3 linked regions of the Ovis aries genome follow. The protein of the gene in region 2 interacts with the protein of the main gene of each other region in a pairwise test. Links are inferred from orthologs where the notes say so. Each region holds a gene or a part of one and is shown on either strand. Other genes may lie near its edges.

Region 1 (3,724 bases), on a different chromosome or scaffold from region 2:
ATGCACCAGGAGGTGGGGGTGGGGGCCCTGCAGCCCAGCTGATAGGCATTCTTCCATGTGCGCACGTGAATGCACGCAGGGCTCAGGTGGCTCTGGTGGCTGGCAGAGGTCTGGTTTGTTTTCAGGACCGTCCAGCACATAGGGCCAGGCAGAGGGTGGTGACCTTGAGGCCACCTGGACCTGCAGAGCCCTGCCTGGGAGAAAGAGGAAGGGTGTAAGCAGATGATTGGGGCAGGAGGATGGCATCCTCTCCTCCCAAGTGCTTAGGTTAAAAGGGAAGAGGAGTGGGGGCTGGGACTGCAGAGCCTGAGGGGCACCTACCTCTGAGGAGCACCGGTTGACCTGGGCTGCTCACAGATGGGTCTGTGGAGAGACTGAGAAGGGGGCTTTGGCTGGGCCTGACGCTGGCCAGCCCTACAGGGACATCACAAAGTTGGGAGAAGGGCCTGGAGTTGCGGGGATGAGGGTAAGGTGTCCGTTGGGGAGCCAGCGGCCCAGCCTGGTACAGGCAGGCTGGTTTGGAAGAGCATTTGTCCTGGGAGGCTGGGCTCAGACAGAGCTTTCATCCAGGTGCTCTACGAGCTGTGTGTGCTTCCTCTTCTCCAGGATGCGGCTGAGCTCCTCCGCAAAAGAGCAGGGCCCCACCGGCACTCCATTGTTGCTCTGCCTCAGGAGCACGTAGCTGTTGCCATTCATCCTGCGCAGCCGGCTGGGCAGCGTCACCAGCCCATTGGTCAGCTCAGTTGGTGGCGGTGGGGGGGGTGGTGGCGGCGGGGCTGGGGTTCCCTCTCCGGGGATGATCTGGAGGCAGCCACCCTCCAGGCCCCCAGCCCCTTCTCCATCATCACCGTCATCTTCCTCTCCAGGACACTGGCCTGAGACTGTCTGCAACTGCACAGCAGAGCCCCCTGCCCGGCCAGCCCGACCCAGTGAGTATTTTCGACGGTGCCCTTGTCCGCCTCCCCGAAGACAGGCCACGTAGAAGAGGGAGGAAGCCAGGATGAGGCAGAGGCCACCAAGTGCAGCAATGGCTAACACGTAGAGCAGCCGCACATCCGGTGCCAGCTGTGCCCCAGGCATGGCAGGGGCTTGTGGAGCAGGCGCTGGAGTGGCTGGCCGCACTGTGAGGCTGTAGGAGGCCAGCAGGGTGCGGAGGCCGTTCTCTTCAGCATAGCAGCCGTAGCTGCCACTGTGCTCAGGCTGCGTGTCTGTTACCAGCAGCCCATCCACACCCACGCGGTAGCCATCCTGCCCATCGCTCAGGCCCATGCTCCCATTGAGCAGCCACAAGGCCCGGGCCAGGTTGGATGGCTGGTCACAGGGCAATAGGACATCATCACCCCGAAGCACAGAACGGGTCTTCAGTGGTGGTGGTGGCCCTGGAGGGAGCAAGGGACAGGAGAATGTGGTCAGTGCCTGCTTATCCTGGGAGGCACTGGAGATGGCAAGCCAGGTGGTTCACTGTTAGGTCCCCAGCACCACACACAGAATCTAGAGTTGCAGGACTAAGCCCTCTGTGCTCATGCTCCCACGCAAGGTTCAGTTGGCCCATCTCAGTGGTTTCAGTTCCTGACATCTACCAGTGATTCCTCATTTCTGTCTCCAACAAAGAGTTTTCTACTGAGCGTAGACTTGACTTTCTTCTACGTGCCATACATCTCTTGGACATGTCACAGGAACTGAGGCCAAAAGCTCCCTCTTAGATGACACTGGGTATTTTTCTTGAATTGTCATCACCAGTTGTATGGCACCACCAGCCATTTCCCAGAAACCTGAGTTTCCCTTGTCTCTTTCTCCCCTTCACCTTTGTATCTAACCCTCACTAAGATTCTGCTTCCAGAATCTTTCTCAGACCTGTTCACGTCTCTCCTTCCCCAGCTGCTGGCCCTCACCTAATCCATTCTTTACGCAGCAGTGGGCTGACCTTTTAAAAACACTAAACTAAAAAAAGAAAATGAATAGGATATATTAAATGCAGAGTGAGAAAAATAATAAAGTCAAATCTGTGTTTTAAATTAATAAATAAATAAATAAATAAATAAAATACACTAAACTGATGATCCCATCCCCCTGCCTCGGCACAGTCCTGCCCATCTCTCCAGCCTCTTCTCTCATTCAAACACCAAGCTTGCTCTTCCCTCTACTTGGGTGTCGTCCCCTTCCTCGTGCCCTGTATTAGCCAGGTTAACTCCGAGGAGAAAGCGTAACAGTGAACAAAAGCACAGATTCCAATCAGCCTGCTTGGGGTTAGGCTCATTTGAGCCTACTGCTTAAGAGCTGATCAATTTGGGGTAGTTTACTTATTCTCTCTGTTACTCGGAGAGATTGCCTCTCATGGAGATGGTAATAATGGCACCTGTCTCATAGGAATGCTCTGAGAACAAAGGAAATGCGTGTGTTTGATCAGTGCTTGCCACATGGTAAATCCTCGGTACATATTAGCTATGATTATTATGATTATTGCTCTTGCTTCAGATATCAGCTCAGTCATCTGATCTTCCTTGGGGAAGAACCTATTATCTCTCAAACCCTTGTCATAGTTGTAATTGTTTCTTTTGTATCAAAAAAGCCAAAGAAAAGAGTTGTAATTTATTGTGTGATCATTTAATTGCCTGTGCACATACTTGGCTGTAAGCTCCAGAAGTGAGGAAAAACTTCACATCTTGAACCTGTTTGCATATTTATAGCTTTTCGTTTTGCAACAAATGTTTGTTGAATACTTACTCTCTGCTCGGTCATTCTCACTGAAAGCACAGAGTCATTCAGATACATATATGCACATACAGATGGCATCAGATGGTAAAGGGGACAGACTGCTGCCAGACCCACACACGGCCATGATGGCACTTACCTGTGACCCTGCTGCCCTCGCAGCCTCGGTTTCCTCTCTCGATGTCCTGTATGAGTGCTGTCCTGGAGACAGAGGATTGGGATTCAAGAACAAGGGAAATGGCTGTAGTTTGCCCAGTGGAAGGGTCAGTAAAGCTGTTACTAACAACTGGACCCTACTCCCTCAGCTGGCAGGCCCTCCTTCACCCCTTAGGCCCTGATTCCCGGGGCAAATGGGACCCTCGAACCGCCCCCCCCCAACCCCCATGCCTCTCACCTGCTACTTTGGGACCTGTTGGCTACGGTGGTGGTCACCATGCAGGCATGGGTGCTGGGGTCCCAGCCACAGTAGGGGTCTCGGGCCAGGATGCAGTCATAGCAGGAGCGGTAGCGGGAGCAGCTGGACAGTGGTAGCTGGATGATGCCACTTGGTGCCCCCACATAGAGGCTATGCTAGGAGTCAGAGAGAACAGCTGGTTGGCAGCACCTCACTCCCACTTACAGACACACACACACATACACACACACACACACACACACACACACACACACAGCCAGTGTCCAGCCTCCCACCTCCCTCTGTCTACTCTGGCAAGACCAGAATATTGAGGGTCATGAGTCAGGAGCTACCTGCATCGGAGAGATGACCAGGTTCTCCACAGACTGGGGCTCCTTGAACACCTGTGTCTCTTCAATAATGTGCATCCCAGAGCCCAGGACCACAGCCTTGTGGATCCAGCCATCAGCTGGTATGGGAATGGCAGAAGGTCAGACTCCCAGCAGTGGAAGCTACTCTCAGCCCCCTGCAATAAATAGCCTAACGGGAACAGCTTGGAGTCCTGAGGTCAGGGACAAGGATTCAGCCAGTAGCAGTGGGTTCTCCCGAGATTGGAAA
Region 2 (5,019 bases):
CACCAGCCCCTGAGCAACACAGGAGGCAGCTCTGGGGTTGGGGGAAGGCGGGCAAATTACAGCAAAGGTGGAGGCTGCCAGCAGAGGACCCAGAGGTGGTACCCTTCCCCAGCACGGCAGGAGAAAGACGGCTCTTTATTTCGGTTCATGGGAGTTCATTTCTGGAGTGGAATGCGATGCTAGGGGGATCTTTACTCTGGCAAGCCAACTTCCGTGGCTTAATAAAATCAAATCTGCCAGCAGAACCCCTTTTTCACAGCCATCTTATTTGTATCTCCAAAGCGTGAACAGATGAAGCAGCCCTCTGGCTGAGCCAGAGGTGCAGAGGGCCTGGAGACCTTCTACCTCCTCTCACCTGATAGGTACAGGTGGGGAAATCAGCCGAGGGCTGGGTATTTTGAGTGGTGTCCACCATGGTCAGAGCTCAGTGGGCCCGGGGCTGGGTCAGGATCCAGGGCTCGGGCTCCTCCAGATCTAACTAGATTCTACAAGCTGGGCTGACCCTGGCCTTTCCCCATGGGTCACATGCAGAAGTCTGCAGAGCTCCCTTCGACCCCACAGGCATCCTTCACAGAGTGACTGTGTCCCTTCTATGGTGAGGGGCCACACTGGCGGACACCATCCCCTCCTGGAGCAAAGCAGTCTGGCCTCGCTCACTCCATATACCAAGGGTGTATATGGAGCTTCTGCCTAACACCAGGACTCCGTTTCATGGAAGCCCTTGGGCCGGCTGTGCCTTAGAGACCTGCCAGGGCAGAACATCACATATGACTAGAAACGGTTTACCAGCCAAAGTGGAGCCCCTGTATCAGGAGGGCAAAGCTGTATTCCTCGGGGGGCCACTAGCTGGTACTGAAACTCTTTTAGGACTGAACCAGAGTCTTTTCAATACTCATAGCAATGAAGGGGACACAGATCAAACCTTCTCATGCAGGAAGGCTAAAAACATGTCTCATGGGGAATTTAGGGGGTGCAGAACAAAGAAGGGGGAGAGAGAGGGGGGGAAATGTGGGAGGCAGGGGCAGAAGGGAGAGAGGGAGGGTAGAGGAGGGGGAGAAGGCAGAAGGGAGAGACACAAAAGAAAAAACTCATACCTACCCATGGCTTACGGCTTTGTGCATCTGAATCCACTTGCTCACTAAGCAAAGGGCAGAGTTGGAGCTGCCTCCCTGAGACAGGTAGTAAAGGATGGGGCAGGGGCACAGCCCCGTGGCAGGTGGGGGGCTGGGAACCTAGACACACAGTGGAGGGGGGATGGGTCCGAGTGCACCGGGGTTGGGGGAGCAGTGGCGGCGGCCGGTGATGCCCAGGTGCGGGGCTGGGGCACGGAGCCCAAGGCGCGCTGGTGTTTCACAGGAGCCCGGGGAGAGGGGGGACGCAGGGTGGATGGCATGACTCCCGTTTTGGTGCAGGTGACGGTGACAAGGAGACCCGCCCCCCCTCACCCCGTCCCGCACATCCGCTCCAGCCTCTCCACTGCACACACAGCCTCACACTCTCCAGGGCACCTGCCTGTGGTGGGGACCAGAACCCCGCAGGGGATGGGCAGGCAGATGCTAAGCCAGGGGCCAGAAGCCGGGCTCAGCTTAGCAGAGGTTCAGTCAGCCCAAGGGCTGGTCCTCAGGGAAGGTGATCGGGCAATGGGCCTGAGACCCACTGGGACGTGGCCACTCTTGCACATGCCCAGAAGGTGGGCCCTTCCCCGCCGTGCCGCCCCCTTCAACCAAAGGCTGCCTCCTTCCAGCTCCACGGGGTGCAACGCCATCCCCCTTTCAGCAGGAACTGGCCTAGCCTGTGCTTGTCATCAGCAACGTCCCCATGCCCAAGGAGGGCAAATCAGCAGCAGAGCTCACAGGGCAAAACCCCAGCACAGGCAGCCAGCCCGGGGGGAACAAGTGTTCTGTGCTAATCGCCACTCTCCTCTAAGAAAACAGAGGGTTCATCCTTACGCCCACTCAAGACTGCCGATCTGCTGTGGTTTCTGGCTCCTGGTCACTTGTGGCCACTCCTGCCTGGCGCCTAGGGGCTAGTTAGATGTGTCATAAACATTGGGGAAACCCATGACTCACTGACTCTGGCTCGAGGGACCATCCAGCATGGCTGACCTTTCTCCTAAGGCCACCGTCCTGTTCAGCAGAAAAATGCACGTGTGCTCAACCTCATGTACACAACTGCATGCTCACCGTGTTGTGTGCAATTCCAAGGGCCTCAGAAGTCCCTGAAAGATCCTCTAACATAACAGATAGGATCCAAACTGATACTGCTACTCGCTCTGCACCAGAGATGGCTAGACGCAGCACGCAGACTGCGACATGTGAGTAAGCGACATGGAAGACCCTGGGCGCTTCCACTAGAGCCTCATCCTGACACTTGACAGTCATCCCTGTTTCGATTCACCATCCAGGGGTCACAATGGGGTTCCGCCATCACGCTTCTTGAGGAACGCTCCTGCCCAGGGCAGCAAGGGTAACCCTGGAGTCTCCACCACCTCAGCATCATACCAGCTCCAGTGACTGGTGACAGGAGGAGGAGAGCAGCCAGAGAAGAAATGACTCAGTACAAAAATAAAGTGCTAGAGAAGAGGAGGAGATACCCATAAAACATCCATCCTCTTCCATGTACAGATGAGGTAGTAAGGCCCAGAGGATTCAAGTACAGAGACTTCACATCCTAAACAGTGTTGCCAAGCATAGGCCGACCTTGACTGGGCTCCAGAGGGGGCTCCCTGCCTCGCTCAGGAGCTCTCCTGCAGTGTTTTGAGGAGCAAACACGGTAAAGCATCCAAAGGGCTTCCTTCCTAGGCACAATTCCATCATTATCCCATTTGCCTTTAGAAACAGTCACGAGAAGTGCTTACTAGGTGGCTGGTTCAACTCCTGGGAGCCACCATTATTAAACACCCCTCGGTTTAGCGATTTTCTTCTCTGTGGACTCAAGGGACAAGTCTAGACCAGTGGTTCTCAGAACATGGTCCCCCGACCACCAGCATCACCTGGGACCACCTGGTCCGAAATGTAGAAACTGTTTGGGGGAGGGCTCAAGCGCCTGCATTTATCAAGTCCACCAGGTAACGCTGCTGCATATACGCATGCTCAGCTTTGAAAGACCCTGCTCTAGCACAAGGTTTCCTAAAGGGCAGCCGGAAGAAGCGAGTCACGCTCGGCAGTCAAGTATGTTTAAGAGAAAAACACACCGTCTCAGCAGATTCTAGATCCACGTCAGTACGGGAAAGGCTCCGAGAAGCTGAAACAAACCTGTCTGGCCCGATTTCATCCTGGGCTTCCCAAGTTTATCGGATCACGTCATCTTTTAAACTACGTAACAGTGTTGAGAAATGCTGGTCTGGAAGGTGCCTTCCAGTGGTGACATTTGGCGGAGGCGGGAGGCTGGGCATGCTGATGTGTCAACCAGCTCTTGAACGAAACTAATCAGAGCTAGGCGATCACCAGACCAGCTGGTTCCCTGGCTGCCTGATCTACAAGTCGCAGCGGCAACTTCCCTTTCCTAAGGCGGGTGCTGGGCCTGGACGCAGACTTCCCGGCACCACATTCAGAACCGAGCTCTCTCTCTCCTCTTGAAGGCATGGAGATCTTAAGGCGGGTTTCTCCCACTGTCCCCAACACAGAGCCCTGAAGACCCTGCCAGAGCTTTCTCAGCTGCGAGCCACCGGTCACCAGCCACTAGCCACTCATATGCTATTTATTCATGATCAACTCTGCCCCCACCGACTCCGGCTCTGAGGCGCCGCTCTTAAGCGGTATCACCAAATAAACAGGTCAGGTCCCACAGCAAACTCCGCTGCAGGCTGTGGAGAGGCAGCCAAGCCGAACACCTCCTCTGGTCCAAGGAAGTCCAAACTCACCCAACAGACCCCAGTGATGATTCGCAATCACAAAAAAGATGATCCTCATGATGGGATGAATTACAGGATTCTGTGAAACAGCAGTCTTCCCTATTTCTAACAAGGCGTTCACCAAAACCAGAACACTTGCCAGGAATTTCTCTACCCCACAAGATGAGGCCCATTGAGGACCATTCCCTACCACCCCCCCAGTCTCCCCTCCGCCCCCTCCTACTCTTTCCAAGGACAAAGACACAGAACTGCAATCAGCATTTCTTACTATTTCTTTTACAATACTCTTTGCCTGGGGCGATTAAGCAAGTGGCTATTGTTACCTAGACAAAAATGTCAAGATTTCTGTGAACTGGTTCAAAGGTTGAAGCTTGCCACCTGACCAGGTAGGGGTCGGGGGGAGAGGAGGCCCAAGGACCTTGCACCTTCTCCAGGTCTGAACAGTGTGAGGCTACTGAGGTCTGAGTCCAGGCAGCCACAAGGTCCAGATCCCAAGAGCAAGGTCCTAGGCCAGTGAACCCCTCCCACTCAGACCAACCAAGGCCGGGCTTAATTAAACATAACCCTTCAGGGATCTGCTTCTCTTCTGGCCTTTTCAGATCTCTCCCCATCTCTCCTCGGCACCAGCTCAACTCGCGCTTCCACACAGGCATGCGAAATGTGCTCAGACATCCCAGAAGTTCACTCAGGACGCCACTCGGGTTGAAGGCACCCAGGCGTGTAACACCCTGTGTCAGATTAAGTCTGCAGTGCTGGCTGGTCATCCATATTTAATTCTGTCAGTCTGTTAATTTTTAACTATGTTTGCTATCAAGGGCCATTAGAGGTCTCCAGGAGCCGGGGTCGGTGGAGCGAGAAGCGCTCGGTGGCAGAGCGGATGGAACTTGGAAGTTGGGGTGTCTCACTTTCCCCTCCTGTCACCGAGTTCTGGCCTTCCCCACCGGCAGCGCCGGCCTTGAATAAAACATGATCCCATATGGAGCTCGTTCTCCTTTTCGCCCCGTCACCATGGGTTTTCTTCATGGAGTTCACTTGGTTTTTATGGCGCCTGCGTCTTTTAATTCCAAAGTTTCTTGGTAGCCTTTCTTGGTTTTGCTCCCGAAGCAGTTTGAATCCATGTCCTCTCAGATGGTATCTGGGGACTTGTCCCACCAGAGGCCAAACAC
Region 3 (5,019 bases), on a different chromosome or scaffold from region 2:
TACAGATGAGGAAGTTCTGGTGCAAAGGTTGAAGGGAGTAATCTGCCCAAGTCACACAGCCAAGACCCCAAACCCCAAGAATTGGCTTATTCCCTAGACATGACAAAAAGAATCGTCGTCTTCAAAGCTTTACTGTAAAATGGAAAGGAGCCCAGTTTGCAGAACAGTATGAACTAGAACTAAGGTGGCCTGGAAGGCCAAGAGACTACAGTTCTGTTCCCATCTCTGACTCCACCGAGGTGTGGCCTTGGGCAGATGATTAACTGTCCCCTCTGCCAGATGTGTTTCCTCATCTGTGGAACAGGGAGGCCGGGTCCAAGTGTCCTCTGAAGGTCCTCTGAAGGAGCTGTAACCCCTCTGTGTGTGAGGCTGCTGGCTCCCTGTAGCTCATGCAGGTGGTAAATAACTTATTCCCGTTAGGCCGAGGCTGAGAAGAACTCTCAGTGTTGAGGCACCAGGCTGGCAGGGGAGCCTCACCGGACTCCCTGAATCCCAGTCTCTGTGGGCACGGAGGAGGAGCTAGTCAGAAGACACCCACGGTGCGTCCACAAGCGGCTCCCTGGGTTTTCCACGAGAAGCGGCTCTGGCAGCCTGTCTAGAAACCTGAACGTGCGGCTTAGCTGGTGGTGGTGGAGGGTCATGGGGGCAAGAGGCAGAGACCATCTAGACTAGCCTTCATGCGGGGATTGCTAGCCGCCTCGAGCTGGTTGTGGCCCGTGGCTCCACTTCAGTGCCTCCCAGAGCTCCACAGCCGTGCCCAGCTCCAGATGCCTGGAGCTCATGTATGCAAATAAGGCTTGTGGTCTTTCACGCTTCTAGTCTCCTCTGTTTCTGTTTTTGATTTTTGGCCACGAGCAACATAGGGGACCTTAGTTGCCCAGTCAGAAATGGAAACCAGGCCGCCTGCATTGGAAGGGAGAGTCTTATCCACTGGACCACTGGGGAAGTCCCTGTTCTGTTTCTTTTCTTTCCCTTCTTGATCACCAGTATCAAGCTCTGGACCCTCAACTCCCATAGATCTGGTTCCAACCCTGTCACTCCTGATGTCAGGAGGCATTAGGGCCTCCTTGCCAGCCATTCCCAGTCTTTGCATGGGCCTCGGAGAAAGGGACAGAGTCCAGAGTGGTCAGCCTTCTCCCTGCTCTGTCACCTCAGGACAGTTTTGGTGGAGTCACGTATGGATGTGAGAGCTGGGCTATAAAGAAAGCTGAGCACAGAAGAATTGATGCTTTTGAACTGTGGTGTTGGAGAAGACTCTTCAGAGTCCCTTGGACTGCAAGGAGATCCAACCAGTCCATCCTAAAGGAGATCAGTCCTGAATGTTCATTGGAAGGACTGATGTTGAAGCTTTGGCCACCTGATGTGAAGAGATGACTCATTTGAAAAGACCCTGATGCTGGGAGAGATTGAAGTCCAGAGGAGAAGGGGACAACAGAGGATGAGATGGTTGGATGGCGTCACCAACTCAATGGACATGAGTCTGAGTAAACTCCGGGAGTTGGTGATGGACAGGAAGGCCTGGCATGCTGTGGTCCATGGGGTCACAAAGAGTTGGACACGACTGAGCGACTGAACTGAACTGAACTGACTGAATTTCCTTCCCATCATTTAGATACAGAGGAAAAGAGTCTTGTCTTCTTCAACTCAATGAATTTTCTTTCAAGGACAGATCACCCACAAGATGGGAGAAGAGAAACGTAAGAGATTTTCGGGTTAGGACTCATCCTTAAATGGTTCCTCACATCATGTTACAGTGCTGTGTGTTTTTATTTTTTTGTGTGTGAACCTTTGTTAGAAGGAACCCGAAGCTTCCTAGAATATAAATACCAAGTACAGCTTTCACCTGGAACACAAACCCCTCAGTATCCTTCAACTTCCCTTTTCTGCCCTCCTGTCTACATTACAGGCTTCCTGGATCAGAAAACCGTCAAGAACAAGGACTGCAGTCTTATTCTTAAAGAGCATCACCAGGCTTCCTGGGCACTGAATTCCAGGGCTTCATCTCCTTTCCTCCTCTCCTTTCCTGTTAAGCTGTTGCACTGTACTCAGAGGAGCTTGGTTAACAGAGTAAAAGTAGGAACCTCCCCAACCACTGAGCAGGGGACAGACCCACAGCACAGGACCTGTGGTTATGGGGCATAGTACAGGGGGAGATGGTGCGTGCATGTCAGTGATGAAGGGCTGAAAAGCAGGAGGCTGAAAGATCAAATTCACATTTTTAGAGAAGAAAACACGGGGGCAGAAATCCAGACAACAACAGCCCCAAATTCCACGGGTATGTCATCAGAGCACACTCCATCCAATCGGCAGTCTTTTCTCCCGCAGCCGATCATCATCACCCCAACATCGAGGGCATCCCAACTGTCTAGTGAAGCACTGAAGAGACCGTCTTGAGTTTTCCGATGGCTGGAGATGAATTTGCAACGTTCCAGGGCTCTGTGTGTGCTGGGAAGGAGCCGGCATCGGGGTGGGGAAGGCTACCCTCATGCCTCGAGACGTGACTGATGCCAAGAAATGAAATCGCCCAGCCTTTGAAAGACTTCCAAGAACGTCGGCATGTCCTGCCTACCCGCTCCCCGCCGAATGCCTGCTTTGGCTGGCTGCTCCGTACTGAAAGTGCCAGACAGGCCTTCACACAAAGAGAGAAAGTGTCTGGGGCCCATGAAAGGGGAAGGCAGAGCCTTTCCGATGTGAATGGTGAGATTCAAGGAGGAGGAAATAAAGTGGCGGGGTGAGGAGGGGCCCTCAGGAAAGGTGGGAACAAAGTACCAGAGGGGACGGGGCGGCCTCTGCCTGCCCACGTGGGGTAACCTCTTTGGAGCTCCGCATGCTCGGGTCTGGAGGTGTGGACCACCGTCACTGCACTCTGCACAGGATTATCATGGAAACATCCCCCGCTTGTAGAGTCTCCCTGTATCCGAAGACCTCTTGATCAACTGAGAGTATGAATTGTTAAGGCCTGCCAAGGCAGAGATCAGTGTACTTCTGTTTCCATTTTAATACTGGATATAAACGCCATTTGTGCTGTTTGTCTGGGGGGAATGTTCTTTGACTCTCTTTACCTCCAATATACTTTTAAAAAATGTCTGTTGCAGTCCATTTGAATATCTTGGAATATATTTTTCTTCCTTCGGCTGGATTGGAGCAAGGAAGAAAAATGCTTTGTAGAGTGAACTGCTCTCCAGCTCCTTTGCCGAGCTCCTCGTAATTCCCTTGGCACAGCCTCTGCTGTTGGAACACAGCACTCGGTGGTGTTCCGAGCTTTTCCGAGGAGGCGGTCTGATGTCATTGGTGGCAGACACAGTACGTATGGATCTGTCTTTTGTCTGCACCATCTGTTTTTCTCCTTACAGCCCATTGTTTGGATCCTCCTCTTTCCAGGAAGTGTGCCTCTCCATCAGAGCACGGGCTTAGGTGTTTCAGGGACTCAGTTCATCTGCTAACCTGCGTTCCCCCTCTCTTCTTTCCTGCCTAGAATCTTATGGCCCGAGCCTTGTACGACAATGTCCCGGAGTGTGCCGAGGAGCTGGCTTTCCGCAAGGGAGACATCCTGACTGTCATTGAGCAGAACACAGGAGGACTGGAGGGATGGTGGCTCTGCTCCTTACACGGCCGGCAGGGCATTGTCCCCGGCAACCGGGTGAAGCTTCTGATTGGCCCAGTGCAGGAGACCTCCTCCAATCAGGACCTGCCCACTTCGGGACTGGGGCCACCGCCCTTTGGCCAACAGAAGCTCTATCAAATACCAAACCCACAGGGCGCCCCTCGAGACACCATCTACCAAGTGCCGCCTTCCTACCAAAATCAGGGAATTTACCAAGTCCCCACCGGCCATGGGACCCAGGAACAAGATGTGTATCAAGTGCCACCCTCAGGGCAGAGAGGCGCTGGGGGCGCTAACGGTCCCCACCTAAGTAAAAAGGTGAGTGAACAACAGCTGGATTTCTCTTCTTATTTAATTTTTTCCATTGCAATCAAAATATGTGTCTATGTGCTCCTAAAATAAGAACTTGGAGCTTCCAAGAAGCCGTCGAAGAAGTAAGTAAATCTTCCAAGAAGTAAGAATGTCTGAATACTCTAGCTTGCACGTTTTTTTTGACAGGGGAAGTCATTTTTCCATTCATTGGTCAGTAAAACCTTCTTGAACACCCACCCCATGCCAAGTACTGTTGATCCATAGCCCTTACAGGTTCCCGAGTTGTGCCAGGTTATACCGCGTCGTCAAGTGTTCCCATCTTTCTGATAGCCCTGCTTTTACACGTGGGCTCTGCACTCCACAGTCCAGTCTTTTCTCTTTCTCCCTTGAGTAGTACAAGGCACCATACTTTGCACAAGCATAGTGAAGCAGCAAGGACTCTCCTTTCACTAAAAGCTCGATTATGACCCCACTGGCCATGACACCACACGGCTGGCTGCATGAATGCACGAGAAGTCGAGGCCGCAAGGAAGGGGGAGTGGGTGAAGCCAGCCACCGTGTTCTGGAGAGCCATCAGCCTCAAGGTCGACTCACTTAACACAGAGACTAGTGAATTCAGAGAAGAGCCAGCCTCTTGTCCTTCTAGTAGTTCCTATAACAATGCCTGAGGCGGTGGGTAAAAATAGTGGAGCTAGGGTATTTAGAAAGGCATCATACTAAAAAAAAAAAAAAAAAAAGGTGAGGGCACTTCCTTGGTGATCCAATGGTTAAGGCTTCGCCTTCCAATGCAAGGGTGCATGCAGGTTCTGTCCCTGGTCAGGGAACTAAGATTCCTACGTGCCTGTCAGATAAGAAAAAACAAACAATCAAACATGAAACAGAAGCAAGATTGTAGCAAATTCAATGAAGGCTTTAAAAATGCTCCACATCAAAAAATCTTAAAAAAAAAGAAAGAAAGACCTCTTCAGCACTCTCTGTAATTCCAAATGCTGTAAGAATTTGAGATAAGCAGACCATTGAAGGAGTTTTAAGCATCTAGCCTAGTTTCGATGCTTGTGATAGCCTGATGAATCCAAGAGGGAATGTGGCCTCCACAACACTTA

The links. The genes of interacting proteins can lie anywhere in the genome.
Region 1: the proteins of RBPMS (region 2) and SEMA4G interact in binary tests that used the Homo sapiens proteins (3 or more experiments, as listed by UniProt). The two-hybrid records come from large-scale screens. The link is inferred for Ovis aries from reciprocal best matches to the Homo sapiens genes RBPMS and SEMA4G.
Region 3: the proteins of RBPMS (region 2) and NEDD9 interact in binary tests that used the Homo sapiens proteins (3 or more experiments, as listed by UniProt). The two-hybrid records come from large-scale screens. The link is inferred for Ovis aries from reciprocal best matches to the Homo sapiens genes RBPMS and NEDD9.

What each region holds. Positions count from the first base shown.
Region 1 is NC_056075.1:21,582,369-21,586,092, reverse strand, and holds part of SEMA4G (semaphorin-4G), read right to left. Parts: intron 3,576-3,724; coding exon 3,460-3,575; intron 3,283-3,459; coding exon 3,107-3,282; intron 2,914-3,106; coding exon 2,852-2,913; intron 1,380-2,851; coding exon 550-1,379; 3' UTR 1-549. UniProt on the Homo sapiens protein: Cell surface receptor for PLXNB2. May play a role in axon guidance.
Region 2 is NC_056079.1:25,813,440-25,818,458, reverse strand, and holds part of RBPMS (RNA-binding protein with multiple splicing), read right to left. Parts: intron 1,233-5,019; coding exon 1,099-1,232; intron 1-1,098.
Region 3 is NC_056073.1:44,300,723-44,305,741, forward strand, and holds part of NEDD9 (enhancer of filamentation 1), read left to right. Parts: exon of another isoform or gene 1-2,694; coding exon of another isoform or gene 2,695-2,697; intron 2,698-3,475; coding exon 3,476-3,922; intron 3,923-5,019. UniProt on the Homo sapiens protein: Scaffolding protein which plays a central coordinating role for tyrosine-kinase-based signaling related to cell adhesion. As a focal adhesion protein, plays a role in embryonic fibroblast migration.